Sus scrofa: one gene and its partners. The main gene of each other region encodes a partner of the protein of the gene in region 2 in a complex. Links are inferred from orthologs where the notes say so. Each region holds a gene or a part of one and is shown on either strand. Other genes may lie near its edges.

Region 1 (9,782 bases), on a different chromosome or scaffold from region 2:
CCATGGGCATGGCCAAAAAATAAGTATTTTTAAAAATAGGGGGAGGGAAATCATAGGAGATTAACTCTACATCTGGTTGATATCATGAATAATATAAACTATACTCTGTATAACAGATGGCATCAGTAGAAAAATTATCAAATGCAGTCACCAACTGAAGTGCATTATATAATGTGTTGGAAGCATATATATTTATAACTTGCCAATCCTGCACACTAACTGAAAAGGGAGGCAAAATATAGAGGGCTTATATGAAATTTAAAATCTGCTGCAAATAATCCAGAAATCCAATCTTCCAAAGATCGAATACTGGCAAGCAACTGAAATCTTCCAAAATAAAATACTAAAATGCCCTCTAAAGGTTCTGATTTGACTACTACTGATATTTATAGGTTTTGGCCACTGGAAAGCCAAATTTAAAGATGGCTGATCTGAACTAATAAAGAAAATTTACACCTGAAATTGTGACATCTATATCAAAAACTATATCAACAGGAGAAAAGGCGAATCACCCTTCACTTAGGAAAACAGTACATTTGTTTAACTATTTCTCTGCAGTGAAACAGATTCAACTCCTTAGGTCTTTTAGATGCTTTCATTAACAGAAATTTCAAGTCAAAGGTTGGCACTCAATGCCCATACTAAAAAAAACACTGGATATAAAATTAGGAGTCTTGGAGTTCCCATCGTGGTGCAGTGGTTAATGAATCTGACTAGGAGCCATGAGGTTGCGGGTTCAATCCGTGGCCTTGCTCAGTGGGTTGGGGATCCAGTGTTGCCGTGAGCTGTGGTGTTGGTCGCAGACGAGGCTCGAATCCTGCATTGCTGTGGCTCTGGTGTAGGCTAGTGGCTGCAGCTCCGATTGGACCCCTAGCCTGGGAACCTCCATATGGCGCAGAAGCGGCCCTAGAAAAGGCAAAAAAATAAAAAATAAAAGTAAATAAAATTAGGAGTCCTGACATCCAGTTCTGCCACTCATTATTAAATGAGAACAGTGAAGAAGACATTCTTCTGGGTCTCAATTACCTCAACTGAGCTATCTCTGGAGAATTAAAGTGGAGTGACACTGAAAGCTTTGCACATTTTCACATGCTCTACACAAAAGCATTCATTATTAAAACACTATAATATATGGAGCATGTTCTTTTAATAGATACTTGAAGTGCAGAATGTGTATGAGCAGCTATTTCTAATCCTGAGTGACATGATTGATGATTGAGGCCCTGCCCACTGCCACCCATCAGTCCATAGATTGAGTGGGTTTATATACAAGTACATGCCACGGAGTGCTCGAGACACAAAAACAACAAGATCACACTGTAATGTGGAACCAGAATTGGGCCAGATAACAGCACCAGTGGAGCTTATACTCTTTTCACACCATCGCCAAGACATTTAGGCTTCTACATTCTGGCTGGGGTGGCCTGGACATCTCTGCAGCTCAGGTGAGATAGCAGAACTAGGCATTGATGGGAATATTAGGGGCCAGGTACACGTTACAAAATGAGTTTCACACTTTTGAATTACATACATTAAAAATAAATAAAAACACACTAGGGATTCCCAGCGTGGCTCAACAGTAATGAACCCAACTAGGATCCATCTGGACACAGGTTTGAACCCTGGCCTCGGTGGGTTAAGGATCCAGCGCTGTGGTGTAGGTTGCAGACATGGCTCGGATCCCACGTGGCTGTGATGTAGGCCAGCAGCAGCCACAGCTCCGATTCCACCCTTGGCCTGGGAACTTCCATATACTGGAAGTGTGGCCCTAAAAAGCAAAAAAATATAAAAAAAAATTTTTTTAAAGCTGTATCTAATTAAACTCCTATACATTCTTCATGTTCTTAAGCCTAATTTCATAAAATTCCTGGCCACAAAAAGCCTTTCCTTTCCAATAAAGACTCTGATTTATTGAACAATCTAGTACTAGATATACTGTTCTGTTCCGTCATTTAAAGTGTCTCTCCAGCCAGCAAGCCTTTTAAACACAAGAATTGAGTCTTCTACTTTTTTAGAAGGCCTTTTGTATTTCAGCAAACATACAGCAAGTGGTTTATAGAGGCCAATAGGTTAAGAGAGGAAACACAAAACAAACACCTGTTATCCTGAGCAAGTAAGTCACTCAACCACTGAAAACTCAGACCAAAGAAATCAAATGACAGATGTGACCAATATAAAACCCCAGAAATCCAAGTCTAGGCATTAAGAAACTACAGAATAATTAATTTAAATAAATATCAGTTATATGCATTACGGGAGTTAACAACTTACAGCAAGAATTTATCAAAATAACCAGTATGCACACATTACACCCCATCCCTACAACAATCTCAACATGAAACAAAAAAAATCCTTAGGAAAAAAAACTACACAAAATAAATTTTACTTTACTCTTAGGGAGTCAGGCAGAATCAAGATATCCAAATATCAAAATATTAACCTCTCAAATATGGAGTACTATTAGAGTTCCTATTGTGGCTCAGCAGATTAAGAACCTGACATAGTGTCCATGAGTATGCAGGTTCGATCTCTGGCCTCACTTGGAGGGTTAAGAATCTGGCACTCCACAAGTTGTGGGTTAGGTCACAGATATAGCTTGGATCTGGCATTGCTGCAGCTGTGGGGCAGGCCTGCAGCTTCAGCTCCAGTTCAACCCCTAGCCAAGGAACTTCCACATGTTGCAGAAAAAAAACGTTTTTTAAAAATACTCAAATTTAGGACTCTAAAAATTCACAAAATACAGGTGGAAATGTCTCCAAGGAGGACTGTTAGAATATAATCATTGTATAAATGATTACTACACTCAAATTACGAATTAGTTAAAAAAAAAAAAAAAAAAAAAAAAGGAGCTCCCATTGCTGCACATCAGAAACAAACCCAGCCAATATCCACGAGGAGGCAGGTTTGCTCCCTGGCCTCCTCAGTGGGTTGGGGATCCCTTGTTGCTGTGGCTGTGGAGTGCAGCTGTAGCTCAGATTAAATCCATAGCCTGGGAACTTCCATGTGCTGCAGATGGCATTAAAAAAAAAAAGGAAGAATAAATTAGTGAATATTTTATGTGCAGAACTCTTAAGGCTTTTCAAACTCATCAAAAGGGCTTGCAAAAAAGTAAAACAGGTTGCAATCTTACTGAGTAACAGAATCCCACATGACCAGTCTTTCCTGAGTACCTTGCACATACAAAGTAAGTAATATGACAAAAGATCACACAAAACCCAGAAATCCTATCCAAAAATGAAAATAAAATCAAGATAAAATGCCCTTAAAATGAAATCATCTTTTGTTTCTTCAAGATAAAATAGGCATTTCCGTGTGGCCCAGCGGTAATGAACTCAACTAGTATCCATGAGGACACAGGTTCAATCCTTGGCCTTGCCAGTAGTTTAAGGATCTGGCATTCCGTGAGCTGTGTGTAGGTTTCAGACAGGCCTTGGATCTGGCATTGCTGTGGCTGTGGCCAGCAGCTGTAACTCCAATTCAACCCGTAGCCTGGGAATTTCCATCTACCAAGGGTGAGCCCCCCCCAAAAAAAAATTATATAAAGGCTCAACAGAACTTATCAGATACCTAACACTCACCACGCCACTGCATGACTTTGTTTTCACATCCAGTTTCACCAACCCAAAACCTTCAAGAGAACAAAATGATTCTTTTGTATAAAAGATGCATGACAACAGCCAACTATATACACTAAAAAAAGAAAACCAGAAAGATTTCACATATTCAAAGGGAGACAAAAATGTGCATTGATACATGATACTTAAATGAAAAATTCTGTGAATAGACAGAAACATCCCTATGAAGCTTTGCCTAATATATTGGTGTGTATTTGGCAATCCCCCCCCCAAAAAAAAACCCCAACTGTCAAACAATTTTATCAAAGCATTTATTTAAAAATGCTTTTCAAACCGAAATATCAGATTAGAAAAATCACTTCAACTTAAATCTCAGAATAGCCAATAATTTATTATAATACAGGCACTGAGAACATTTAACCCAAAGAGGTACCTCCTTCGGGGATTAATAATCTAAACAATTAATAATCTAAATAACTGGGGAAATATTCTAAAGGACAGGGAGGGTGAGGTGTGGAATAAAATCTTCAAGAGAGTCCTAATTTATTCGAAAAAACCCATAACTCTTTAGTAGGAGTCACCACCATCAAAGCAATCCAAGACAATCATCAATTCTAGTCAACCATGGCGTAAACTATATCTCAAAGAAAAGAAAGCATGATTGCTTTTCTTCTTAAAGGTAAATTCCTGTAACTCAAGTTTGAAAAAAACAGATGAAACTGGGATAGAATTTGGATTGTTTTACAGTACTATTTTAATAGAAATCTTATCTTAAATATAACTAATAAGAGAATGCAGCAAAATACTTACAATTTAAAGTCAATAATTTCCCTAAGCAATCCAAACACACATTTTCCACTTCAGATCTAAAATTTTTAAAGCAATTCTTACCAAATCCTTTGTTGAAAATATCTCTGGCAGCTTTGCCAAGGTCAGCATATGATGGCGGAATACACATTGCTGGTGGGAAGAAACATTCCAATGTTAATGTCCCTGTGCTCCCACAGTCTGTTCAAGAACTAGATTATGAACAGACTGCTATCTTTAAATCCAAGCAATCCAACTTGTTTTTATTACCACGAGGAGCTACAACAAAACTATAGTCTACTAGGATCCATGAGGGAGACATCAGCACCAAAGACTAATTTCTAAAACAGATAACTATAGTAAGTGGCCAAAAAACTTGGGAAATTCCTTCCAAAATATACAAAGAATCAAACACATACACACATATATAACTATACATTCAAATATACCTGCCAAAAGTCACTGGAATAGGCTGATTTAACCAAATGAGATTAAAAAAACTAAGACAAGTCCCTCACCCCCTCCCCCAATACATCCTTTAGTATCCTCTCTGAGGCCAAAACCAATATTCTGGAATGGGAAGAGAAAGGTAAATAATACCTGGGGAACTTAACGGAACTTAAAAAAAAGCCATCTATGTTTCACTCAAGTGTCTACATCAACTAAATATCAGATGGCACTTTAGACATATCCTCGGCCAATGCTGTGCGGCTTAAGGGCAAGCAATCTGAGCTCGTTACACTAGCTCATTCATTCTACACAGCACGTCCACGCCCTTAGGAGCACATGTAATGACCTTGTGCACTCACAAGGGAGATTACTACTTCCTCTAAAAAAGTGACCGATCCAAGCCTCCAAAAACCAAATCCGGTATCAGTAACTTTTTCCTCTGAGTCCATTAAAGACACATCCAAAAGCTGAAGGTGAATGCGACCATGAACCAACTCCCCTGGCCTAGTCCCCCTATTCGAAATCCAGCAACTCAGTCCCTCCTCCGCAGAACTAGAGGAGTCAGACGATGGAGAAACTACCAAAAGGGACAAATTTCCAAGTCCTCGGAGAGATACGGGAAAAGAAGCCCTAGTTTTCCGTTCGACAGGCTTCGACTGTCCAGGCACCGCCGCCCCGTCCCGCAGAGATCCCCCTCTACTTACGCCGTGGGCAGGTCTGTCCATAGGACGCCATGGCGAAGCCGTCGGATGAGGTGATCTGAAGGAGGGACATAAAGTGTGGTCAGCAGGGGTCAGAAGCAAACCAAGGGGCCAGAAAGGGGGTCTGGGACAGAGGGGAGAGGGGCCGCGGGGCAGCGCGGCCATCTTAGGGAGCCAGGGCCGACCCAGAGTCCGGCTCAGACATCCTGCTTGGCCGCCCAGGCCTACGCCCCCGGGTCAGAGTGAGGCGGGGGCAGCGGTACCTGGTGGTCTCCTGGGGGGAGGGGGAGGCGCCCCTGCCGTTCGCTCGCAGCAGAAACCGTTCGGCTCCTTCAGGGTCGGGCTGCAGCTCCCTCGGCTGGAGGGCGAAGTGAAGGAGACACCGTTCCGCCTGCCGCAACCCTGTCCTCCCCCCACCGGCCAGGACCCTGCCGCTGCCCCTGGGGCTGCCCGCCGCGCCTGTCCCCGCAGCGCCGCCTGCTGCCCACTCCAACCTGCTCTAAAACAGCCACGTGCTCCAAGAGCACCCCCGCCCCCGGGATAGGGCGCCTCGGTCCCTCGGCGGGGGCCAGAAAGACAGACGTTGCCGGACCTCAGGTCAGGCAGCGAAGAGGACAGCCCCAGAGACGAGGGGGCGGGGAACGACGGATGCTGCCGGAGGGGACCGCGAGGGCGGGGGGATGGGGTGGAGGCCCCGCGCGCGCTCAATATGGGCGGGGCGGGGCGTCGGGCGCGTGCCTGAGCGGGACTGCGCGCGACTGGGCGCGACCGCGCTCCCCGAGGTCACGTACATCTCTCCAACTCCCCTTCTTGGCTGTGACTTACATGCCCTGCAGAGCCAATCCCCGGTAGAGGAAGGAGTCTGCTGAGCGATACCACTTCTGCCCTGAGCAAGTGCTTGCGTCTCTGGAAGACCGTGTGTCTCTCCTGGCTCAGAGAGAAATGAGTGGGGCGCTGGGGCGTACCTCCAGCCCCTCGCCCACTCCCTTCTTTCGCCCGCTTCCCATCATGGTGTAATCGCCATGCTAGGCGGGGCTCGGCCTGAGAGGCTCTCTTGGGCTGCCCCGCCCTGAACAAACTTGAGCACGTCTCGGGGTGCCCCGCCTTTCCCTACTCCACCCTACCCCCGCTCAAGCCTTAGGGTTCCTTTTCTGCCTCCTTCGTCTGGATTGGGGTGGGACTGCTTTACACACACAGAGAAACTGGAGCGGTCTTGGTGAGTCAAGCCTGCTAGAAAATTTAGGAATCATGCTGACCAAGCATTAGAACGCTGCACTCCAGTTCTCTGGGTGTGCAGGAAGTGAAGAAGCCAAGGGGACAAGAAAAAAATGAGCGGTCTAATGAGATAGAAATAGGGTCAATTTAAGGTCGGTAATCAATAGCCAGTCTCAGCAATTTATCCCTTCTCTACCCCAGTTTTGTCTTGTTTTGTTTCACTCTATAAAATAAATGAGATGAAGTGGTTTTAACAGCCATTCAGCCATAGACTAAGGAAAGCTCATTTTCCCCCACTCTGGCTTTTTCTTCTTTTTCTACCCACCGTGTGGCATGTGGAGGTTCCCAAGCCAAGGATCAAACCATTGCCACAGTAGTGGCCCAAGCTGCAATAACAAGGCAGGGTCCTTAACCCACTTTGCCCCAAGAAAATTCCCTGACTCTAGCTTTGAAAACCACCTCTATTTAAATGCTGCAAAGTTACCATCTTTTTCTAAACCAGGAAAAAAGGGATAGCTAGATAGGCCTCCCATTGCAAACCCGGATTTAAGCTGCAGCCTGGTGGATTTCCCTCCCATGAGCAGGCCCAGCCAGCAAGCTTGCCTAGTCGTGGTTGGTATTACACATTGTAAAGGGTTAGAAGAAGGGAAAAGTTTTTGTGCCTAAAAGTTCAGGCACCAGAGTCCTGATTAATTCCTTCATTCACGTTCAGACAGGTTGGTCTGAAATCAGTCTGGTTCCACAGAGAACTGGTCTGCTCTGGCTATATTTGATGCTAATGGCAGAAACTGTTATCCTGTCCTAAGTGCAGCATAATATACTACCTCCCAGAAAAACCTAGTCTCTGCTCAGTCATCTTTGGGGCTTATTCACACTGTGAACTATCTAACATATTTAACCCCCAGAGAATCTTAATGTGCTACAAAACACAGATCTGAGGCTTTACCCTCTAATAAAAATCCAAGGGATATACACAGTACCTAATAACAGGAAGAATCGTGGCAATTTATTTCAAAGTGGGATTCAGTAACTATATATGAGTACTTACATCCAAAGCCCTTTAAAGAGTCCACTCTAAAACAAAACAACAAAATCAAAACAAAAAACAAAGCTCTTTAGACCAAAGCATCATTAGTAGCAGCCACCACCTATAGAGCAACTACTTTGTATCACCCACAAAGGAAGCAAAATCCATTCAGACACACTTCCTGCTCCCGAGGAAGCACTTACAGTCAAGCATGTAGAGATGCAGAGATGTGTAGAGATGTCAAGAACTGGAAAGGTGGAGTTCCCATCATGGCTCAGTGTTAACGAACCCACCTAGTATCCATGAGGACTCAGGTTCTATCCCTGGCTGAGTGGGTTAAAGATCTGACGTTGCCATGAGCTGTGGTGTAGGTCGAAGATGTGGCTCAGAGCTGGCATTCCTGTGGCTATGGTATAGGCTGGCAGCTGCAGCTCTGATTTGATGCCTAGCCTGGGAACTTCCATATGCCATGGGTTTGGCCCTAAAAAGACAAAAAAAAAAAAAAAAGCTAGAAAGGGTCCAAAATTTTCCCTATGTGCAAACTAGCAAGTTCACCTGCCATAGTTTCATATATTGATAGATGCTGGCAGAAGACAGGAAAGTTAAAGGTTAGAGACAAAGGATTTTATTACTCCAGGCTCAGCAAGCAGCATAAGCTTCATGTTCAAATCAGTTCCCCTTGCCCTCTGTGTTCCACAGGGGTGTTGCAGACCACCCTAGGGAGTAACTGCACACCATGTGTTTGTGTCACAGCTGAGGAATCTTAAGCTTAGGAAATATCCTGCCTTATAAGGAGCTACAAACCTGTCCAACCTTTGCCCCAAGAGAGACATTATTATACTTCCCGGGAAACAAAATCTGCCCTCTGCCTGTTAACCCAGAGGGAGCTAACATCCCTGTCTCCCAAGGCTATTTGCTATGTAGACATTCTTGAAAAGATAGTTTGAGATAAAAGCTGTCACAAGACCTGTAGAAACACCACTGAGAATTGTCCTACAACATAGGACGGAGAATTCAGGGGTTCTAAGCACAATGCTGAATGTAAGCACCTGCTGACACAACACTGTAAATCAACTACACTTTAATAAAAAATTAGGAGTTCCCATTGTGGCTCTGTGAGTTAAGGACCTGATGTTGTCTCCTGAGGACGTGGTTTGATCCCTGGCCTCACTCAGTGGGTTAAGGATCTGGAATTGCCACAAGCTGTAGCAAAGGTTGCAGTGCGGCTCAGATCTGGTATTGCCATAGCTGTGGCATAGGCCTCAGCAGCAGCTTGGAAGTTCCATATGCCACAGGTGGGGCACCAAAAATTTTTTTTTAATTTTTAAAGTAAAAAAATAAATAAATGTAAGCACAGAGAACTGTGATCATGCACAGTCAGACTGAGGAGACACTTGCATTAAAGTATGAAAGTAGGACTTATCAAAACTGGAAAGCCAGGGGAGTTCCCGCTGTGGCGCAGTGGTTAACGAATCCGACTAGGAACCATGAGGTTGCGGGTTCGGTCCCTGCCCTTGCTCAGTGGGTTAACGATCCGGCGTTGCCGTGAGCTGTGGTGTAGGTTGCAGACACGGCTCGGATCCCGTGTTGCTGTGGCTCTGGCGTAGGCCGGTGGCTACAGCTCCGATTTGACCCCTAGCCTGGGAACCTCCATATGCCAAGGGAGCGGCCCAAGAAATAGCAACAACAACAACAACAAAAGGCAAAAGACAAAAAAAAAAAAAAAAAGATCCGGTGTTGCCATGAGCTGTGGTGTAGGTCAGCAGCTGTAGCTCCGATTCTGACCCCTAGGCTGGGAACTTCCATCTGCCACAGGTACAGCCCTAAAAAAACAGGGAAAAAAAACAACAAAAAAACACTTTTATTATCAAAAAGTTTCTGTGGGTCAAAAATTAAGCTTAGCTAAGTAGTTCTGGCTCAGGGCCTCCCATGAGGTTGTAGTCAATATATTAGCTGGGGCTACTGTCATCTGAAGCGTTAACCACGCTAAAGGATCTGCTTCCAAGG
Region 2 (9,782 bases):
TAACAACATACTCATGTTACTGAGAGACAAAAACGTAAACCCAACAGAATTAGATAAAAGGAAATGAATGTAGTTGCATCTGGGAAGAAGGTTAAGCACCATCCCCTTCTCCCAACAAACTTCAAGAAGCATCTGACTTAACTATAACATTTTCCCCTTTGGTGGCATTACATATTCTTGGCATCCTGCAGTAACACTGCCTTTTGCAAAGACTGCTTAAGCATAAAACCATGGCATTTTATCAGGATTAGTAAATTCTCCAGTCCCTAACAAGAAGGACTCAGTAACAGTCACATTATAATAGCCTCACCAGTGACTGTCAGTTTGCTGCAAAACATGGGTTAAGCCAAATAAAAGCCCTATTGTCTTGGCTGGTACACGTATTAAAATATAGACGAATGGTCTTGTGCTTAAATGATGGCATTGTGTGCTGGCTTCCACAAAACATAACAAATTGAAGGGAACTCTTCAACAAATATACTCCAGATGAAAGTAAAAAAGTACACAGAAATGACTCACAAGACAGTGCCATTGCAGATATAATTCCCTTATAATTAACACTTGCTAGAAAATGGAGTTTGACATCATTTACAATTATATCAACATTCATGAAGGCTGATTATCACAGGCAAAAAGGGTGTACTATGACCACAAAACATCTTTTCCTAATTCCCAAATGGCTTTATCTTTTAGCTATAAACGTCAGTTACCAAAGCCAAACTTGTTCTTAACAAGCAGAATGTTTATGTCCATTCAAAGAGTCTCTTACATCTCTCTGGGCTTATTCATCTGCAGACAAGAGTAGAAACTGTAACCAGGCTCTTCACATCATGCGTTCACACGTGATGCCCACTCTTCATATGCTGTCCAATTTCTTTAAGATAAAAGGAGCTGAAAGAAAAGTAAACCCAGCATTTGTTTTCAGATCTATTAGCCTACAAGTTATATTACAGAACTTTAAGAATGGGGAATAAACCTGACAGATTTAGTTCAACACATTTTTCAAAACAACTCCAAGTCCACACCCAGCAAAATGGATGCACTGTCTTTCAAGGCAGCCCATTTCCTGTCATGCAGCTCGGACTATTATAAAGTTCATTCTTGCACTATATAAAATCTTTTCTCCAGGTAGTTCTCCCTCTTAGGACCATAAAGAGTAAATCCAGTCCTCCTTCAACTGACAAGCCTTTACGTTGTGATTTAACTGTCGAAGAAACAAACAAATTGTGATTTTTCACTTTTTTCTTTTCTACGGCATATGGAATATGGTAGATCCCAGGCCAGGGGTCAAAATGTGGCAATGCCAGATATTTAACCCACTAAGCAAGGCCAGGGATCGAACTCACATCCTCAAGGACACTGTGTTGGGTTCTTAACCCGCTAAGCCACAACAGGAAGTCCTGGCATTTTTTGCTTGTAAAAACTCATTTGAAAGAAGGCAGAGGGTAGGGGAAAACACTGAGGCAGGGATCCAGAAGAGCTGGACACATATTTTGGTTCCCCTGCTGATTGACTGTACACCATTTTTGTGCTCTAGGTCATACCTGCTACAGTCCTACTTCAGTTATGATGAGGGTCCAGTGAGGTGATGTAGATATAAATGTCTAGAAAACAAGGAAGGGTTGTAAAAGGGATCTAAGGAAGTGATAGTGTTCTGTGTAAAAGGCTACAGCCAAAACAAGCACATGAAAAGATGCTCAGCACCACTCATCATTAGGAAAATGGAAATGAAAACTACGGTGAGATACCACTCACACCCACTAGGATGGCTGGCAAGGATGTGGAGAAACTGGAACCCTTGTGCACTGTTGCTGGGAATGTAAAACAGTCTAGCTGCTATAGAATACAGCATAGTGTTTCCTCAAAAAACTAAGAGTAGAGATATCTATACCTCCACGTTCACAGCAGCATTCTTTACAACAGATAAAATAAAGAGGCAACCCAAGTGTCCCAAGACACTTGGACAATGAATGGATAAGCAAAATGGGTATATATATACAAATGGATATCATTCAGCCTTAAAAAGGAAGGAAATTTTGACATATGCCACAACACAGATGAATGTTAGGACATTTTGCAAAATTAAAAGTCAGTTACAAAAAAACAAATACTGTTATGATTCCACTTAGATGGATACTTGGTCAAAATCACAAAGACTTAAAGTAGAATGGTGGTTGCCAGGAGCTGGGAGGAGGGGGGAACAAGGAATTATTGTTTAATAGCTATAGCTTCAGTTTTACAAGATAAAGAGTTCTGGAAATAGTCTTTCTGGTAGTGCTGGTTACATATGCTAATATTAAACTGAACACACGGAAATCTCTCAGAAGCTGACAAAGTCAACAGTATGACCAGTCTTTAAAAACAACAATAAAATAAAATAAAATAAAGTAAAAGTGTTGTGAAAAAAAAAAAAAAAAAAAAAAGGAGTTCCTGTCGTGGCGCAGAGGTTAACGAATCCGACTAGGAACCATGAGGTTGCGGGTTCGGTCCCTGCCCTTGCTCAGTGGGTTAACGATCCGGCGTTGCCGTGAGCTGTGGTGTAGGTTGCAGACGCGGCTCGGATCCCACGTTGCTGTGGCTCTGGCATAGGCTGGTGGCTACAGCTCCGATTGGACCCCTAGCCTGGGAACCTCCATATGCCGCAGGAGTGGCCCAAGAAAAGGCAAAAAATAAATAAATAAATAAAATGAATAACCTAAAGTGTTGTGAAAAAAAAAAAACAATAAATTCTAATCACAAAAAAAAGTTAACAGCCATCAAAAGAATGGACAAAGTATGATATATCCAGAAATTGGCATACTATTTGGCAATAAAAAAGTATAGATGAACCCTGAAAACATTATGCTAGACACAAAGTCACAGTACTGTACAATTCTATTTATATGAAATGTCCAGAATTGGAAAATCCCTAAAGACAAAAAATGGGAATGATCAGTAATGACATGGTGTTTCTTTCAGAGGGAAATAAAATGTTCTAAAATAGATTGTAGTGATGGCTGCACAACTCTGACTACACTAGCAACCAATAAATTGTACACTTTGAGTGACTTGTATAACATGCATATTGTATCAATTTAAAAATCATAAGGAACAGTATTCTGTATTTTTTTTTAAAAAAACAACTCATATCGAATACAAAGGTCATTGAAAAGAAGCAAATATTTTACCGGCAGCTAAGTCAACCAAAAAAAGAGGAAGAAATAAATTGGGAGTTGTAAAAAGCTGTTGGAGCTGGACAATCTGAGGTGGCCTGTTCACCAGGGCTCCCTCTTCCGGGGAAGCACAGTATTACCACAGACAGCGAAGGGGGCAGATTAAGGGGACAAGACTTTAGGGAGTTCTGGCCCTAGGCCCAAAAGGAGCCCTCTACAAGATGACCTTAGTATGACCTTCATTTATTTGAATCGTCTCTTCCTCTTCATCAAGGACCTACTAACATACAGCAAGGAACAAGGAAAAGAACACTGAACTGAAAATGAGACGGAGGGGCAAAGTGCTTCTCAAATTCCTATCAGTAAAACTAGAAAACTGATCTATAAAACTGCATCCAGATCTAATATTGTGTGCTGGTAATTCTGATAATTTGCGTAAGTGCCCTCTAAATGTGGAGTTCTTATTTGCAAAGTGGACAGAGATTTATGTCCTGCCTCTCCCAGGGCTATTGTGAAGATCAGGCAGTGCAAATAGTTTCTATCAAAAATAAAATCGAATAAACTCTCAGGTATTATCATCAGTCCTATTAGGAAGTTTCCACTGTGGCCCAGTGATTAACACATCGGGTTTGTTTCTGTGGAGGCGCGGTTCCAGCCCCGGTCCAGAGCAGTTGTTAAGGATCCGGCTGTTACTGCAGCCGTGGCATAGGCTGCAGCTCTGGCTCAGATTAGATTCCTAGCCGGGTAACTTCCATATGCCTCTGTGTGGCCAAGAGAAAAAAAAATTAATCCTATTAACTCATACTCTTTTTTCGTCATTCTTTTAAAATAGCAATTATTTACTCCGCCCTCCATACAAATAAAAGGAACAAAACCTTTTGGATTTCAGAGGTCAGCAATAATGGAAGGAAACTTGGCAGCGAGTAAAGAATTCTGGATTCTAGGTCAAGATCATTCACCAAATCGCTGAGTGACCTTGAGCCTGCCATTTATCCACTCTAGACACAAGTTTTTCTGTGTGCAAAACGAGGTAGCTGCTCTGGGAGATAACCCTTGAGGCGCTTTCATTTCAAACGGTCGGGCTGGGTGATTACCCTGGACCGTGATTCAACCTCGAGGTCCAGGTCGCCGCGTGCCCTAAAACACTCCAGCCCTCACAAGCAGATCCTAACCGCGTCGCGCATGCGCCCGCTGCCCTCGACGTGCACGTCCCTTGCGCCCAGCGACCGCTTAGTTTAGTTCAAGGCCCCCAAAGGCCAATGGGATCAAAGTTGGAGGGCAGTGTCCGCGAGCTCCCTGTTAGTTTCACGGCCACAGCCTGAAAGGACACTCACTGACTCGCAGCAGGGCCACATAGATGAGGAAGTTCCGTATGGAAGAGATCACATCCTCACGCATCTTCCGTTTCATCTCCTCAGGGTCCAGCTTCGGCGCGAGGCCCTCGATCCGGAACATCGCGGCTCTGCCTCACCAATTCCAGTGGTCGCGCTCTGCAATTCTCAGCTTCCGTGTGGCGCCCGGAACTCGACCCAATCCCATTTCCTGTTCCCGCCCCTCGTTTTCGACTCCTGCGACGGGAGCCTGCGAAGGACAAAATTCATCCTTACATTGACTTGTTCTGAAGGAGGGCGGCCTGAAGGGGGCACACGCCATCTTAGCGACGCGCGACTCGGGTTCCTGCAGGCTCCTGTCTTGAGCCCCGCGCGTGGAGCGGCAAAGTGGTTTTGCGCCTCGGAGGGGGAGGTGCACTTAGGTACCATCTTAAATAATAATAGTTAGCATTTATTAAATACGCAGTACATTTCTACTCATGAATTCGATATTATTATTTTCATTTTCTAGATAAGAAAATTAAAGCACAGAGATCTTTAAAACAACTTGCCCAGATAGTGTTTAAAATACCTCAGGGGGAAAAAAAAGGGTTGGGAAAGAGAGATGAAAGGATATTAGCAAAATATTGAAAATAACTTAGGTGGTGATTAGTGTATCATTTCAGTTAATTATTCCAGTCTTTTATTATGAATAATTTTGAACTTTTTAATGATGAGCTAAAATAAAAAGACAAAGATGATGACATTTGCTCAAGGTACACAACTAGTCAATTCTGAGCAGGGTTGTGTACCTAGTTAGACCAGTAGGGTCCCAGACACATAGTTTTTAACATTTTACGTTTTATTATTGTCATCTCATTTTCAGTGTTAACTGATCATCACAAATTACAGTATTGGCCCAGTGATACAGTGTATATAAATCAAGTTTAGATCTGTTCAACATTCTACAGATAAGGACAGAGAGGTTTAGAAACCCAGTGTAATTCCTAAAGTCTTTCTACTAATGATGGGCAGAGGCAGGGTTCTAATGCAAATAATTATAATATTAAATTGAATTCTCTTTCCCCTGCACCCTTTTGTTCCTCTGTTAGTCTTTATTAGCTATTAGTGCCTGCTTGGATGGGCATCTCTGGAAGCAGAAGGTAGGAATTTAATGCAACCAGATTTCCTGTCACGGAATGATCAAAACAGTTGTTAGAAGGCTGCTGCCCCAAATTATGCATGCCAACTAGCCATATATAATTCTCAGACACGAACCAGATGACTGACTTGCTCACATAATTCAAGACCAGAATGCTCCTTCTAGACTGTACATTGCATAGCAACAATGGATTTTAGATAAATTTGAACAGTAATTTACTATGGAAGCAACAGATAACTCTTAAATCTTGCTCTTCCCCCCCCCCCAACCCCCTGCCTTCCTGATTGACAGAATGTAACACATTGAGTCAAGAAAGGGAACTCATTTGCTTATTCAGGCTTTAGTAACCTCTTGCATCTATAATTCATGCAGTGGAATAGCAGAGGCAGCCCTGGAGTGGGAGGGGCTGATTCCCAAGGAATGGCTCCATCTAACCCTTGGAGAGCGTTTAGAAAGCCTGCACTGATGGTGGAAAGCAGTGGGGGCTGCGGAAAGAACCTGAAAAAGGAGGTGGGGGGAATGAAAGTATGTTTCTTTAGTTAAAGGGAGGAGATACAATTTTTTTTTTGTCTTTGCTTTTTGGGGCTGCACCCTCAGCATATGGAAGTTCCTGGGCTAGGGATAGAATTGGAGCTATAGCTGCCAGCCTGTGCCACAGTCACAGTCACCGCAGACATGGGATCCAAGCCGTGTCTCCACAGCTCAGGGCAACACCAGATCCTTAATCCACTGAACGGGGCCAGGAATTGAACCCTCATCCTCATGGATACTAGCCATATTCGTTTCTGTTGCAGCACAACAGGAACTCCCAAAGGGAAGAGATGTAATTAAATGCGCTTGAGAGTCCCTTTCAGTTCTAACAGTCTGTGCATTTAAATTCTAAATGTGTTATCTAGGGCATTCTGGTCTGGAATGTATGGACATCAAAATATTATCAAATGTGGTGAGATATGGAAACAGCCTGTGTGTGTTTTCCATGGTAGGAAGAACATAACAATAAGGCACACCTCATCCATCTGAAGAGTGAGGCAAAGCAGATGTGCAAAAAATGAGTTCTTATGTGATTCCAGTAACTTACATCCTTAGTGTTGCCCGAGTTTAGATATACAGTTCTCAAATGAAATTACCAATTTTTTTTCTTCACTGAGATGCTCTTGAATAACTTGCCTGGATTCACAGGGAACTGAAGAGAGAAGAAATTAACAGAAGATCATGTTTCTTGGTAAAAAGCACAGATTTTTAGCATTCATCCAATGTAAACACCTGTTTATTTGAAAACATGGTTGTAAATGGCTGATTCGTTAAAGTGCAATATTATTCTCTAAAAGCCTGGGGCTTGCCTCCTTGTAAAGAGACTGGAAGGTAGTGGGTAGAAATATGGTGTAGCTGTGTCTTGGGGGTAAGGAACTGGTTCTGGATGCGAACGATTTAGGAGGTGAACTGTTTCTGTCTCAGAGACGTTCATCCTGAAGGACTCTCTTCCCTTTCGTGGCTCTTCTAGTTGTAAAGGAGGAAACATGAAAAGATGTTAGATACTTTCATTGTCTTTCCTTTTCCTGGTTTTTGTTTGTTTGGCATGTAGGTGGAGGTATTGTCTAGTTGAGGTAGGCTTAGGTGAGGCAAACTGAGAGAGCATACTTCAGGAAGTTAACGCTGGAATGAGCTGTTCCGTGTCTCGGACACCTCATTTGTTCCTCCTTGGAAGGATGAGGGAGTGGGAGCTAATCTCTAAAATCACTGGCAGCTCTAAAATGCTGAAGCTCCATGCTTGTTTTTCCTGCTCTTCCTTCATAACCTTGCACTTTAGTGCTAATAGTAAAGGATTCCCTGTGATATGCCATGAAAGGCAAGAAATAAAAAGTATGCACACATACTTCAACATTGATATTTGTATTCATTAATCTGTTCACAGAAGAAATCGTGGCTGCTGTCATAGCCTGTCTTGCTTTCCATTTCAATCTCTGGAGGGATTTAGAAGCTGCTTCCCTTGCCTCGACTTTCCAGACAGCACTGCACTCAAGCATTCAGTGTGTACAACCTACCTGTAAAAGAATTAAGTGTTTTAATTTCTATCAATGGGGAGGAATTTGTATTTGCAAGGTCAGAGATTGACAGGTGACTCACGATTGAGGAAAAACCCCAGCATATAATCTCAGGAATCTTGTGGTTTCTAATTGATAGGGAATGTGTGCACTTCACATATTGAACAGTTGAACCCCTTCCCTTGGTAGATGAGAAAACTGAGGTCCAGAGAAAAGCTAGTTAGAGGCAGAGCCCCCAGGGGGCTAGGGTAAGTCTCTGGGCTCCTAGTTCAGAATTTTTTCCCATCGTACCCTCCAGCAGTTTGATACTTGGTGGATATTCTCATTGATAATCCTCTCCTCGGGGGTACAGACTAGAAGAATGGGGTGTGGGTGAACTTCCATTTGAAAGGGGCAGGAGAAGGGGTCCTGCTATTCATCAACAGGCTGAGGGTAGCCCCTCTTTCCATGCTTCCACACCCGACACCAGGAAACTAATCTGGGCTATGTTGTTAGCTAGCTCCACACCTCTCCTTCCTCATTCCTTCAGAGATGAGCATAGTCTGGTGTTCCCAAAATAAACTTGACTTCATCGGGACCCAAGATGAAGGAAACAAAGGTCAGGACAAGGAAGGGCAGGACACCTGGGCCTCAATGAGGGTTGCTCTGTGACAGATGCTAACCAGAGTCCTCACCTGTGAGATGGAATAATAATTGTAGAAATCACTGCCTAGCAAGAGGCATCTTCTGGAAGAGGGTCCTTTTGAGCCTCAAAGGATGAGTAAAATTTTGATCACCTTTTCCTCACTGGCATTTGCTTTCCCTAATACCCTGTTCTCTGTCTAATTTTTAGGACTATGTTGTCGGGACATTTTTGGTCTCTTACCAAGTAGACTGTAAGCAGCTCAAGTACAAGCAACATGTACTTTAAGCCTCCAAACAGTTGAGGACAGGTATTGACACAAGGTGAAAACTGAGTTTTTACCCCGTGAATGAATGAATGAATGAATGAGCTTCCTATCTTCTAACCTTTAGAATTAAAACATTGGTAGCTTTTTGGCCACAAAAGAAGTTTTCCCCAGATTCTTTTTATATAGTTAATTATTTCTCATTATTTTAGTACAAACTGTTTTTTGTTTGACTAAATAAAATTCATTTAAATAACTTTAATGTACATAGGCAAAGTTAATGAATGAAATTTAATTTACTTGCTTTATGAGTTCCCTGGTGGCTCAGTGGGTTAAGGACATGGCATTGTCACTGCTGTGGCTTGGGTCACTGTTGAGGCAGAGGTTTGATCCCTGGCCCAGGATCTTTTGCCTACTATGGGTATAGCCAAAAAAAAAAGATTTCTTTTCTTTCTTTTCTTTTTTTTTTTTTTCAGGCTACAACTGCAGCATTTGGATGTTTCCAGGCTAGGGGTGGAATTGCAGCAGCAGTCGCTGGCCTATGCCACAGCTACAGCAACTTGGGATCCGAGCCACATCTTTAACCTACACCACAGCTCACAGCAACACTGGATCCTTAACCCACTGAGTGATGCCAGGAATAGAACTCACACCCTCATGGATACTAGTTGGGTTCATCACCACTGAGCTACAATGGGAACTCCTATTTTCTTTAATGCATCTTTAGCAATAGAATTATATATTAAACTCACATTATACTTTTAATAACTTTCCCCCACAAAAGTATATTATTATAAATATTATAGATATTATTAAGCATTAATTTATTAAATATTTTTAAATTGTTATAAATTTTAGAAAAAAAATTAGAGAAAAAAAGAAAATAGCAACTTTCCATCATCCCACAACCTATTAACATTAGTGGTAATCCTTTCAGCCTTTCTACTATCATATACATAAGTAGCTCTCACTCTGTTTCTATATATGTATATATTTTTATTTTTTTACCAAAATAGATCATGTAATATATGCTGTATTGTGTGTTCCATTTAAGTTATATGACTATTTTCTTATATATTTAAATATTCTTCTAGGCATCCCTGCTGTGGCACAACAGGATTGTCAATATCTCTGCAGCATCATGATGCAGGTTTGATCCCCAGCTCTGCACAGTGGGTTAAAGGATGGGGAATTCCATATGGCATGGGGCGGCCAAAACCCAAAAATAA
Region 3 (9,782 bases), on a different chromosome or scaffold from region 2:
GACCCCAAGCCTGGGAACCTCCATATGCTGCAGGTGCAGCCCTACAAAGCAAAAAATAAAAAAATAAAAAATTTTATCTCTTCTAATAAGTATGCAGAGATATCACATTGCATTTTTTATTTGCATTTCCCTAATGGCTAGTGGTGTTAAACATCTTTTCATATTCTTGTTTGGCACCTGCAACTCCTCTTGGTGAAATACATATTCATGTCTTTTGCCTATATTATAAAGGGTTTTTTTCCAAATGAGAAATAGAGTGATCACTATTATACTCCAGTATGATACCACATGGAATTTTAGCATTAGAGTTGCCAGATCTGGTGTTTTTTTTTTTTCAATAAGAAGTCAAATGCTTGAATTTTTAAAATTAATTGGCACGAGATCCTGCTATATATAGCACAGGGAACTGTATCTGGTCACTTGTGATGGAACATGATGGAGGATAATGTGAGGAAAAGAATATGTATAGATATGTATGACTGGGTCATTTGGCTGTGCAGTAAAAATTAACAGAACACTGTAAATCAACTATAACAGGAAATAAAAGTCATATAAAAATAAAATTAATTGGCAACTAATTAAAAATGTTAAGACACAGGAGGGTGAGGTGTGAGAAAAGGATGTGGAGATGGAGGATCAAGCGCCTCAGTTTTAAAAAAAGCCTCCATAGGAGTCCCCACTGTGGTGCAGTGGAAACGAATCTCACTAGGAACCATGAGGTTGGGGGTTTGATCCCCGGCCTTGCTCAGTGGGTTAAGGATCCGGTGTTGCTGTGAGCTGTGGTGTAGGTCACCGATGCAGCTTGGATCTGGTGTTGCTGTGGCTGTGGTGTAGGCCGGCAGCTGCAGCTCCAATTGGACTCCTAGCCTGGGAACCTCCATATGCCGTGGGTGCGGCCCTAAAAGGTCAAAATAAATAAATAAATAAATAAATAAAAATACAAAAAATAAAAAAGCCTCCATATTTGTCAAGTTGGCCATCCTTGGCTTCTGCCAGTTGGGCTGTAAAAAAAGACAAGGACAGAGGCTGGGGACTAGGTCAGATGTCACCTGTCACCCCAAACGGGCCAGAGCGCAAACATGAGACACTCTGGTGATGAGTAACTGAACTGGGCTGAAAACCAGAACACATGGAAGACACTGCTTGCTCTTCAACCAGCCATACCCTTGGGCAAGTCACCCTACCTTCCATTAAGGTCATTCCATAAGAATGACCTCCCTGGAAGAAGAGGGAATTCTGCCAGCATACGGCCTTCAGACTTGACATCAACAATGGTTCTTGCCTGGATCACCAGCCTGCTGGCCCACTCTGCAGACTGAGGACTTGGCAGCCTCCTTCCTGAACTTCGGTGCCTATTCTTAGGATAAATCTCTTTTTATAAACACATCCTATTGGTTCTGTTTCTCTGGAGAACTCTGATTTTGGTTGAGTAGAAACAGAATTCTCTGAGCTATTTCAAACATTTAAAAAGCCTTAGAACCCTATGTATCTAGTCATCCCTGATAATTATACAGATTAACTAAAAACCTAGGTCTGCTTAGTCAAAGCAATCCTGAGAAAGAAAAATGGGGCTGGAGGAGTCAGGCTCCCTGACTCCAGACTACTACAAAGCTACAGTCATCAAAATAGTACGGTACTGGCACAAAAAAACAGAAATACAGATCAGTGGAACAGGATAGGAAGCCCAGAATTAGGAGTTCCCTTTGTGGCTCAGTGACAACAAACCCGACTAGTATCCATGAGGATACAGGTTCAATCCTGGCCCTGCTTGGGGGGTTAAGGATCTGGGGGTTAAAGACCTAAATATAAGACTGGATATTGTAAAACTCCTAGAGGAAAACATAGGCCCACGACTTTCTGACATAAACTATAGCAATATCTTCTCAGATCCACCTCCTGGAGTAATGACAGTAAAAAAAAATAAATAAACAAATGGGACTAATTAAACTTAAAAGGTTTTTGCACAACAAAGGAAACCCTAAACCAAATGAAGACAACTCACAGAATGGGAGAAAATTTCTGCAAATGAAGTGACTGACAAGGGATTAAGCTCCAAAGTATATAAACACCTCCTGCAGCTTAATACCAAAAAAAAAAAAAAAAAAAAGAAAGAAAAAGCCATCAAAAAACGGGCAGAAGATCTAAACAGACAATTTTCCAAAGAAGACTTAGAGATGGCCAAAAATCACATGAAAAGATGTTCAACATCACTATTAGAGAAAGGCAAATCAAAACTACTATGGGGGGGAGTGGTTTCTCAGGGCTACCTGAGATGCTGTCTCTTGGGCTTAAGTCCTAATTTTGTCTCAAATAAAATTTAATTCTCAACTTTCAAAAACAAACAAACAAAAAAACCTGCTATGAGGGAGTTCCCGTCGTGGCTCAGTGGTTAACAAATCCAACTAGGAACCATGAGGTTTCGGGTTCAATCCCTTACCTTGCTCAGTGGGTTAAGGATCCAGCATTGCCGTGAGCTGTGGTGTAGGTCGCAGACACAGCTCAGATCTGGCATAGCTGTAGCTGTGGTGTAGGCTGGCAGCTACAGCTCCGATTAGACCCCTAGCCTGGGAACCCCCATATGCTGCGGGAGCGGCCCTAGAAAAGGCAAAAAGACAAAAAACCAAAAAACAAAAAAAAACCCACACTATGAGGGGAGTTCCTATCGTGGCTCAGCGGAAACAAATCTGACTAGTATCCATGAGAACACAGGTTCGATCCCTGGCCTTGCTCAGTGGGTTAAGGATCCAGCGTTGCCGTGAGCTATGGTGTAAGTGGAAGACACGGCTCAGATCTGGCATTGCTGTGGCTTTGGCGTAGGCCAGTGGCTACAGCTCTGATCCAGCCCCTCGCCAGGGAACTTCCATATGCCATGAGAACGGCCCTAAAAAGCAACAACAACAAAAAGGCTACAAACAATAAATGCTGGAGAGGGTGCGGAGCAAAGGGAAAAGAGAACCCTTTTAGTCTGTTGGTGGGTGTGTAAAGTGGTGCAACCACTATGGAAAATAGCATGGAGAGTCCTCAAAAAACTAACAATAGAATTACCATATGATCAAGCAATCCCACATCAGAGAAAACCATGATTTAAAAAGATACATGTACCCCAATGTACACTGCAGCACTATATACAACAGCCAAGACACAGAAGCAACCTAAATGTCCATCCCTCTGTTGATGGAGTGGATAAAGAAGATGTGGTACATATACCCAATGGAATATTACTCAGCCATAGAAACGAATGGAATGACGGCATTTGCAGCAACATGCATGGACCTGGAAATTATCATGTTAAGTGAAGGTAGTCAGACAGTGAGACACAAACATCATAGCTATCACTTATAGGTGGAATCTAAAAAAGGATATTATGAACTTATTTGCAGAACAGAAACTGACTCAGACTTTGAAAGACTTACGGGGACCAGAGGAGACAGGTTGGGGGGGGGGGATACGCTGGGGGTTTGGGATGGCAATGTAAAATTAGGCTGTGACAGATTCTTTATAAGCCTAGCACCTCCTCACAGTCAGGGCTGGTGCCATCTTGAGCTCAGCCACCCTCTGACGCCTTAATAAACGCTTTTGCTTTACAAATAAATAAATAAAATTAGGCTGTAATTATGGTTGCACAACTATAAATACAATGAAATTCATTGAATAAAAATAAAGCAGGTCTGCTATCTTCTCTTGCTGTTCTTGGTTTTTGCTGAAGCTTCAGATCTGTCATTAATATCAGTCACTGTGTCACTTCTGATTTGGCTAAACTGTGGAAGGAGCCTGGCTGGAGCAGTGGTTAACGGCACAGGCTTTGTAAAATCAGACTTGGGGCACTGCCCTTTATGAGCTGTGTGACTTTCAGCAATTTACACCACCTTTCACTTCTCTGAGTGTGTTTCCTCATCCATAAATTAGGGATGACAACCAACCACAGGAATATAAGTATTATGTCTTAGTTGTCCTTAAATTTCTGAAAATTTACAGAAAGTTATTGGCCAAGGTGCAACATGAGTGGTTATTAACATAACTTCCAAAATATGCTGTTTGAAGGAAGGGAAAACAGTAAAAAGTGAGCTGTTAAGCCCCAGGTCAGGAGATCAGTGACATCGAAAATGAGCCTTAATCAGTGATGTCAAGGAATTTCCAGCTCGGACAAAGGTAAACCCTGACCCAGGGCCCCAAATCAGTTAATGCCTCCCAGCTCCGCCTTCACCACGCCCACACTTAGCCCCACCCCACACCCACCCAAGACCCGCCCACACACTTAGCCCCGCCCGCAGCCCGACTCCCGCTCCCGCTCCGACCCCCGCCCGCGGCCGGCGCTCACCTGGATCTCATGACAGGCGGAGGCCGCCCGCCGACCCTCCGCTTGCTTCTCCTCAATGAGGCCCAGCCCCAGCCCGAAGGCCAGAAAGACAGCCCGGCCGCAAGGGCCCGCGCCGCCCCGGGCCCGCACTACGAACTGTCGCTGGAGCCGCGCCGCCAGCCCGGCCACTGACTGGCGGAAGAAGCGGTAGCGGCCGGGGAGCCCGAGCGCGAGCCTGCGCGGCTCCGCTCCGGGTCCCGCGGCAGGGCCAGGGCGCTCTCCGCGGCCCCAGCCCGCCGCTGGGCCCGGGCGTTCGGGCCGCCCCCAGGCATAGGTCGGGCCAGGCTTGGCTGTGAAGCGCAGCAGCAGCGCTCGGCCTAGCTGCAGGCCCCGGCCCAGAGCCTGTCGCACCACCATGGTGCCGCGGCTGGGTCTCCTCCGAGCCGCAGGAGGCCGGGACGCCTGTCACAACAACAAACTTCGGGTCGGCGCCTTTGCGCAGGCGCGGGCGCCAATGGGCGGGGCCGCCTCTCTGGCTGTTTCTCCGCTGTGCGCGCACGAGGGCGCTGTTCGCGCATCTGCGCGGCGGGTAGTTTCTTGCTCTTGCACCCAGGATCTAAAGATTGCATTGTCAGGGAGATCCTGTCAACATCCTTGGTTCTGGGCAAAATCGAGAAATTGAGAAGAGAAATGAATAATTATTACCCCTTACCGACGGTGCCAGAATCTACGTTTGTTAATTTTCCTACCAATGAGATAGGAAGGTCGTTTTTATAGATAAGAAAACTGAGGAAAAAGAAAAAAACAGGGCAGTGACAGTCCAAGGTCATATGCAGTATCAGAGCTGAGGTTAAAGTTTGCATTGCCCTGATTGCTGAGTCCTTGCCCCTGATGCCCTTCCACTCGTCTCAACAAGCCCACAGGCCCCGGAGAGAAATCTCACCCTTAGGCCACTTTTTTCAGATTAGTGAACAGAGTCCCTGAGATGTGGATCAACTCACAAAGTCACACAGCATGTTGGTGGTAGAGCCTTGTTACCCAAAGCTGCTGTTGGAATGGCTGATAAGGAATTTGTACTGAGTGATTTTTCTTTCTTTCTCTTGCCTTTTTTAAAAAGAGAATTTACAAATACAATAATGGAAAACTATAGTGAACCCCATGTACCCAATTATCCAGTTTCAACAATTATCAACAAATAGTCATTATTTAGTCACCTGTGCATATCTTCCTACTTTCCATTCTCCCATCTTTAAAGCAAATCCCATATATCATATCATTTCATTTATAAATACTTAAATATCTATTGAGAGAGAACTATTTTTTTACAAAACATAAATGATATTGTCACCTCTAAAAATATTACCATTAACTTCACAATATCATTTACTATCCAATCAATATTCAGATTTCCCTGTTGTTTTATTTTACAGTTGTTCAAATTGGGATCCAGACAAGATCTACATGATTTATTTGGTCAGTGGGTTATTCTTTAACAAGGAACCAAGCCTTCCCCAGGCTAAGGAGGTATATTTTGTGGTGCTGCCATTTAAAAAAACGTTCCTGTAATCATGAGTACCTCCAATCTCCTTACCCTTAAGGCTGGTTGTGGGTAAGAGGCCCTGGAAGAGATGTTAAAATGTTTTTGAAGGTATGGCCATGTGTCACAGATGACCTTCAGGGCAAGGGGACCTTCGTCTAGCCTGAGACCCACCTCAGCATTTCTTGAATAGAAAGACACAGTCTAACCTATTTATTTCAGGACTCATTTGCGACCTTTAGCACAGCCCTGTTTCTGGGCTGTAAAGTTGTAAGAAAGAATGAGAGTAAATAGGAATAAAAACAAGGCAACTGCAGAAAGATCCACTTTGAATTGGTGAAATTTTTTTTTTTTTTGGTCTTTTTGTCTTTTCTAGGGCTGCACCCGAACCACATGGAGGTTCCCAGGATCAGGGTCTAATCTAAGCTGTAGCTGCTGGTCTACGCCACTGCCAAAGCAACGTGGAATCTGAACCGAGTGTGCGACCTACACCCAGCTCATGGCAGCACCCGATCCTTAATCCACTGAGCAAGGCCAGGGATCGAACCCACAACCTCATGGTTCCTAGTCAGATTCGTTAACCACTGAGCCACGATGGAAACTCCAGTGAGTTTAAACATGTCAAAACCAGTATAGGAATACTTCCTAGTGACTCAACATTTTGAGGATCCGGCGCTGTCACTGCTGTGGCGTGGGTTTGATCCCTGGCCCGGGGAAAGTTGCATGCTGTGGGTGTAGCCAAAAAAGAAAAAGAAAGAAACCAGTATATACATTGAATGAGAAGCTGGTAATGTTACTCCTAGGTATAGACCCCTAGAAAAGCATATGTAATTTACCCGAGAATGTTTATAGCAAGACTATTCCACATAGTGTAAAACTGGAAACAACTCAAATGGCCATCTCTATAGTAGACTGGAAAATTGTGGTATATTCACCCAATGGAATACTAAACAGCCATGAGAGTGTCTACAACTATAGAGTCCTGGGACGTTGTTTCCTGATCCGTTTATGTGATGAAAATTCTCCTAAAAGTACATTTTGATTTGTGCATTTTTCTGTGTGTAGTATTTAGGTAAACATTTTACTTAATGCTTTTTTAACATAATGAAAGCCTTTCTGAAAAATTCAGGGAGTTCCCATTGTGGCTCAGTGGTAACGAACAGGACTAGGATCCCTGAGGATGTGAGTTTCCATCCCTGGCCTCTCACATTTGGTTAAGGATCCGGTGTTGCTCTGAGCTGTGGTGTAGATCACAGATGCAGCTCAGATCTGGTGTTGTGGCTGTGGCATAGGCTGGCAGCTATAGCTCTGATTCAACCCCTAGCCTGAGAACTTCCATATGCCGTGGGTGTGGTGCTAAAAAAAAAAAGAAAAGAAAAATTCAGTCTATTTTATCACCAGGGAACCCTCCCCACTGGTAACCACTAGTTTGTTTTCTGTATCTGTGAGTTCTGTTTCTTTTTTGTTATATTCACTAGTTTGCTTTATTTTTTAGATTCCACATAAAAATGAGATCTTAGAGGAGTTCCCATCGTGGTTCAGCGGAAATGAATCCAACTAGGAACCATGATATTTCGGGTTTGATCTCTTGTCTCGCTCAGTGGGTTAAGGATCTGGTCTTTCAGTGAGCTGTGGTGCAATTCACAGACTCGGCTTGGATCTGGCATTGCTGTTGCTTTGGTGTGTAGGCCAGCGGCTACAGCTCCGATTTGACCCCTAGCCTGGGAACCTCCATGTGCCTCGGGTATGGCCCTAAAAAGCAAAAAAAAAAAAAAAAAAAAAGAGAGAGAGGTCATAGAGTATTTGTCTTTCTCTGATTCATTTCGCCTAGCATAATAGCCTTCAAGTCCATCCATGTTGTTGTAAATGGCAAAATTTCATTAATTTTTTTTTTACAGCGGAGTAGTACTGCATTGTGTGTGTCTATTTATATATATGTGTGTGTATATATACACATATACCACATCTTCTTTATCCTTTCATATATCGATGGACACTTAGGGGGATTGAGGTACAAACTATTTTGTATAAAATGAATAATCACAGGAGTTCCTGTCATGTCTCAGTGGTTAACGAATCCGACTAGGAACCATGAGGTTGTGGGTTCAGTCCCTGCCCTTGCTCAGTGGGTTAACGATCTGGCGTTGCTGTGAGTTGTGGTGTAGGTCGCAGACACGGCTCAGATCCTGCATTGCTGTGACTCTGGTGTAGGCCGGTGGCCACAGCTCGGATTGGACCCCTAGCCTGGGAACCTACATTTGCTGAGGGAGCAGCCCAAGAAATGGCAGAAAGACCAAAATAAATAAATAAAATAAATAAGCACAAAGTATATAGTGTATAACAGAGTTAATATAGCCAATAGTTTGTAATAATTATAAATGGAGTATAACCTTTAAAATTTGTGAGTCACTGTTGTACACCTTACCATATATTATATTGTAATCATACTTCAGTAAAATTCTTTTTTTTTTTTTTTTGTCTTTTTGCCATTTCTTGGGCTGCTCCCGTGGCATATGGAGGTTCCCAGGATAGGGGTCGAATCGGAGCTGTAGCCATCAGCCTACACCACAGCTAGGGGTTCAATAATATTGTTTAAAAATAGATACAAAGAAAGAAACAGTGGAACAAACTAAAAACAATAAAATAAAGGATTTTGGATACACACTTACCCCAAAAAAGTTCTATCTAACTCATTCATGGTCTCAATTTTTTTGAAAAATGAACTTTGTTTGAATAGTGTGTGAAAGTTCACAGAGTTTAATCATCTTTGAATTTCGTGGTTTCAAACAATAAAAGCATTTTAATAGGGGAGTTCCCATCATGGCGCAGTGGTTAACGAATCTGACTAGGAACCATGAGGTTGCGGGTTCGTCCCTGCCCTTGCTCAGTGGGTTAACGATCTGGCGTTGTCTCGAGCTGTGGTGTAGGTTGCAGACGCGGCTCAGATCCTGCGTTGCTGTGGCTCTGGCGGCTACAGCTCCAACTAGACTCCTAACCTGAGAACCTCCACATGCCGTGGGAGTGGCCCAAGAAATGGCAAAAAGAAAAAAACAAAAACAAAAAAACATTTTAATGCGAGCTTCGTTGTATCACAGACGTTGAGTTGAACTTTGCTTTGCACATGTCTCAGCCAGCCTGTTCCTGAATGAACAGACGATGGCACTTTCCACTGTTTAGGACCAACCGACATTAGGGAGCATCTTCACTTTAATTCTTCTGATGTCGGTGTGATGGAAAAGCCAGGACATCAAAAGAGAACAAGCAAAAGGCTCCACCTCCCTTCCTTCCTGCTTAAATATGAAATTAAGGGACATGTTAATAGTAGCTGTTGCTGGAGGGATCTTCAACCATCTGAAGGGTTCTGGCCCCAGGCATGCTTGGCCATGAGGTGGACCCCTGGCTAGGGACAGGTGGCCAACTGTTTCAGCAGTGTGTGTATCCTGATCTCTCCTGTGGGAGAGAAAAAGCATGGCCCTCGTCACATGCAATTTATTTGGAAGAGACATAGATTAATAGATGAGTTTCTCTCCAATTTCTTTATAGGGGCACATGGATATCAGATATTATCCTTTTTTTTTTTTTTTGGATCAGTTTCAGAGAATTTTAAATTACAATTTAAAAATGCTCCATTGAAACTGCCCTTTGGAGAAAGGTAAGGAAGAGAAGGTGGGGGAAACTTCACACTCCAGGGACCACAGGCTCACCCACGGAAGCTTAGTCAGCTGGGGCAAAGGTCTTATTTAAAGTTTAAATCTACCCATCTGCTGTGTGTCATTATCATTTCAGCTCTTTCATGTTTACTGAGAAGGAACAAGAGGTTCTCTGATATTTAATATTTTAACTAAAAGGATTTGCTTTACCCTCCTAGGAATGTAACCTTTTACCAGGAGGCTTGTGATGACCATGCAGCTTGTGAGCGGTGCTCGCTCAAAGGACGGCGCATCGGTT

What was found.
Region 1: the proteins of TOMM5 (region 2) and VDAC2 are in contact, whole or in part, in a cryo-EM structure (PDB 9EII), measured with the Homo sapiens proteins. The link is inferred for Sus scrofa from reciprocal best matches to the Homo sapiens genes TOMM5 and VDAC2. Residues at the interface, in NP_001001790.1 of Homo sapiens: Ile25, Arg29, Leu32, Ile33, Ala36, Arg39, Val40, Phe43, Ile44, Lys47; in NP_001171752.1 of Homo sapiens: Val38, Thr60, Gly63, Asp239, Tyr258, Gln260, Thr261, Leu262, Leu268, Leu270, Val286, Leu288.
Region 3: the proteins of TOMM5 (region 2) and PINK1 are in contact, whole or in part, in a cryo-EM structure (PDB 9EII), measured with the Homo sapiens proteins. The link is inferred for Sus scrofa from reciprocal best matches to the Homo sapiens genes TOMM5 and PINK1. Residues at the interface, in NP_001001790.1 of Homo sapiens: Met1, Phe2, Arg3, Ile4, Gly6, Leu7, Ala8, Lys10, Leu11, Asp12, Pro13, Glu14, Met16, Lys17, Arg18; in NP_115785.1 of Homo sapiens: Gln484, Ala488, Gln491, Ser495, Lys496, Pro498, Val502, Lys520, Leu522, Lys523, Leu524, Met527, Glu565, Cys568, Gln569, Ala571, Leu572, Leu573, Cys575, Ser576, Trp577, Ala579, Ala580.

What each region holds. Positions count from the first base shown.
Region 1 is NC_010456.5:77,763,480-77,773,261, reverse strand, and holds the start of VDAC2 (voltage-dependent anion-selective channel protein 2), read right to left. Parts: upstream 6,098-9,782; 5' UTR 5,797-6,097; intron 5,592-5,796; 5' UTR 5,568-5,591; coding exon 5,537-5,567; intron 4,536-5,536; coding exon 4,467-4,535; intron 3,629-4,466; coding exon 3,579-3,628; intron 1-3,578. UniProt on the Homo sapiens protein: Non-selective voltage-gated ion channel that mediates the transport of anions and cations through the mitochondrion outer membrane and plasma membrane.
Region 2 is NC_010443.5:238,328,372-238,338,153, forward strand, and holds TOMM5 (mitochondrial import receptor subunit TOM5 homolog), read right to left. Parts: upstream 4,696-9,782; 5' UTR 4,608-4,695; coding exon 4,487-4,607; intron 892-4,486; coding exon 857-891; 3' UTR 523-856; downstream 1-522.
Region 3 is NC_010448.4:78,858,221-78,868,002, reverse strand, and holds the start of PINK1 (serine/threonine-protein kinase PINK1, mitochondrial), read right to left. Parts: upstream 4,809-9,782; 5' UTR 4,715-4,808; coding exon 4,319-4,714; intron 1-4,318. UniProt on the Homo sapiens protein: Serine/threonine-protein kinase which acts as a sensor of mitochondrial damage and protects against mitochondrial dysfunction during cellular stress.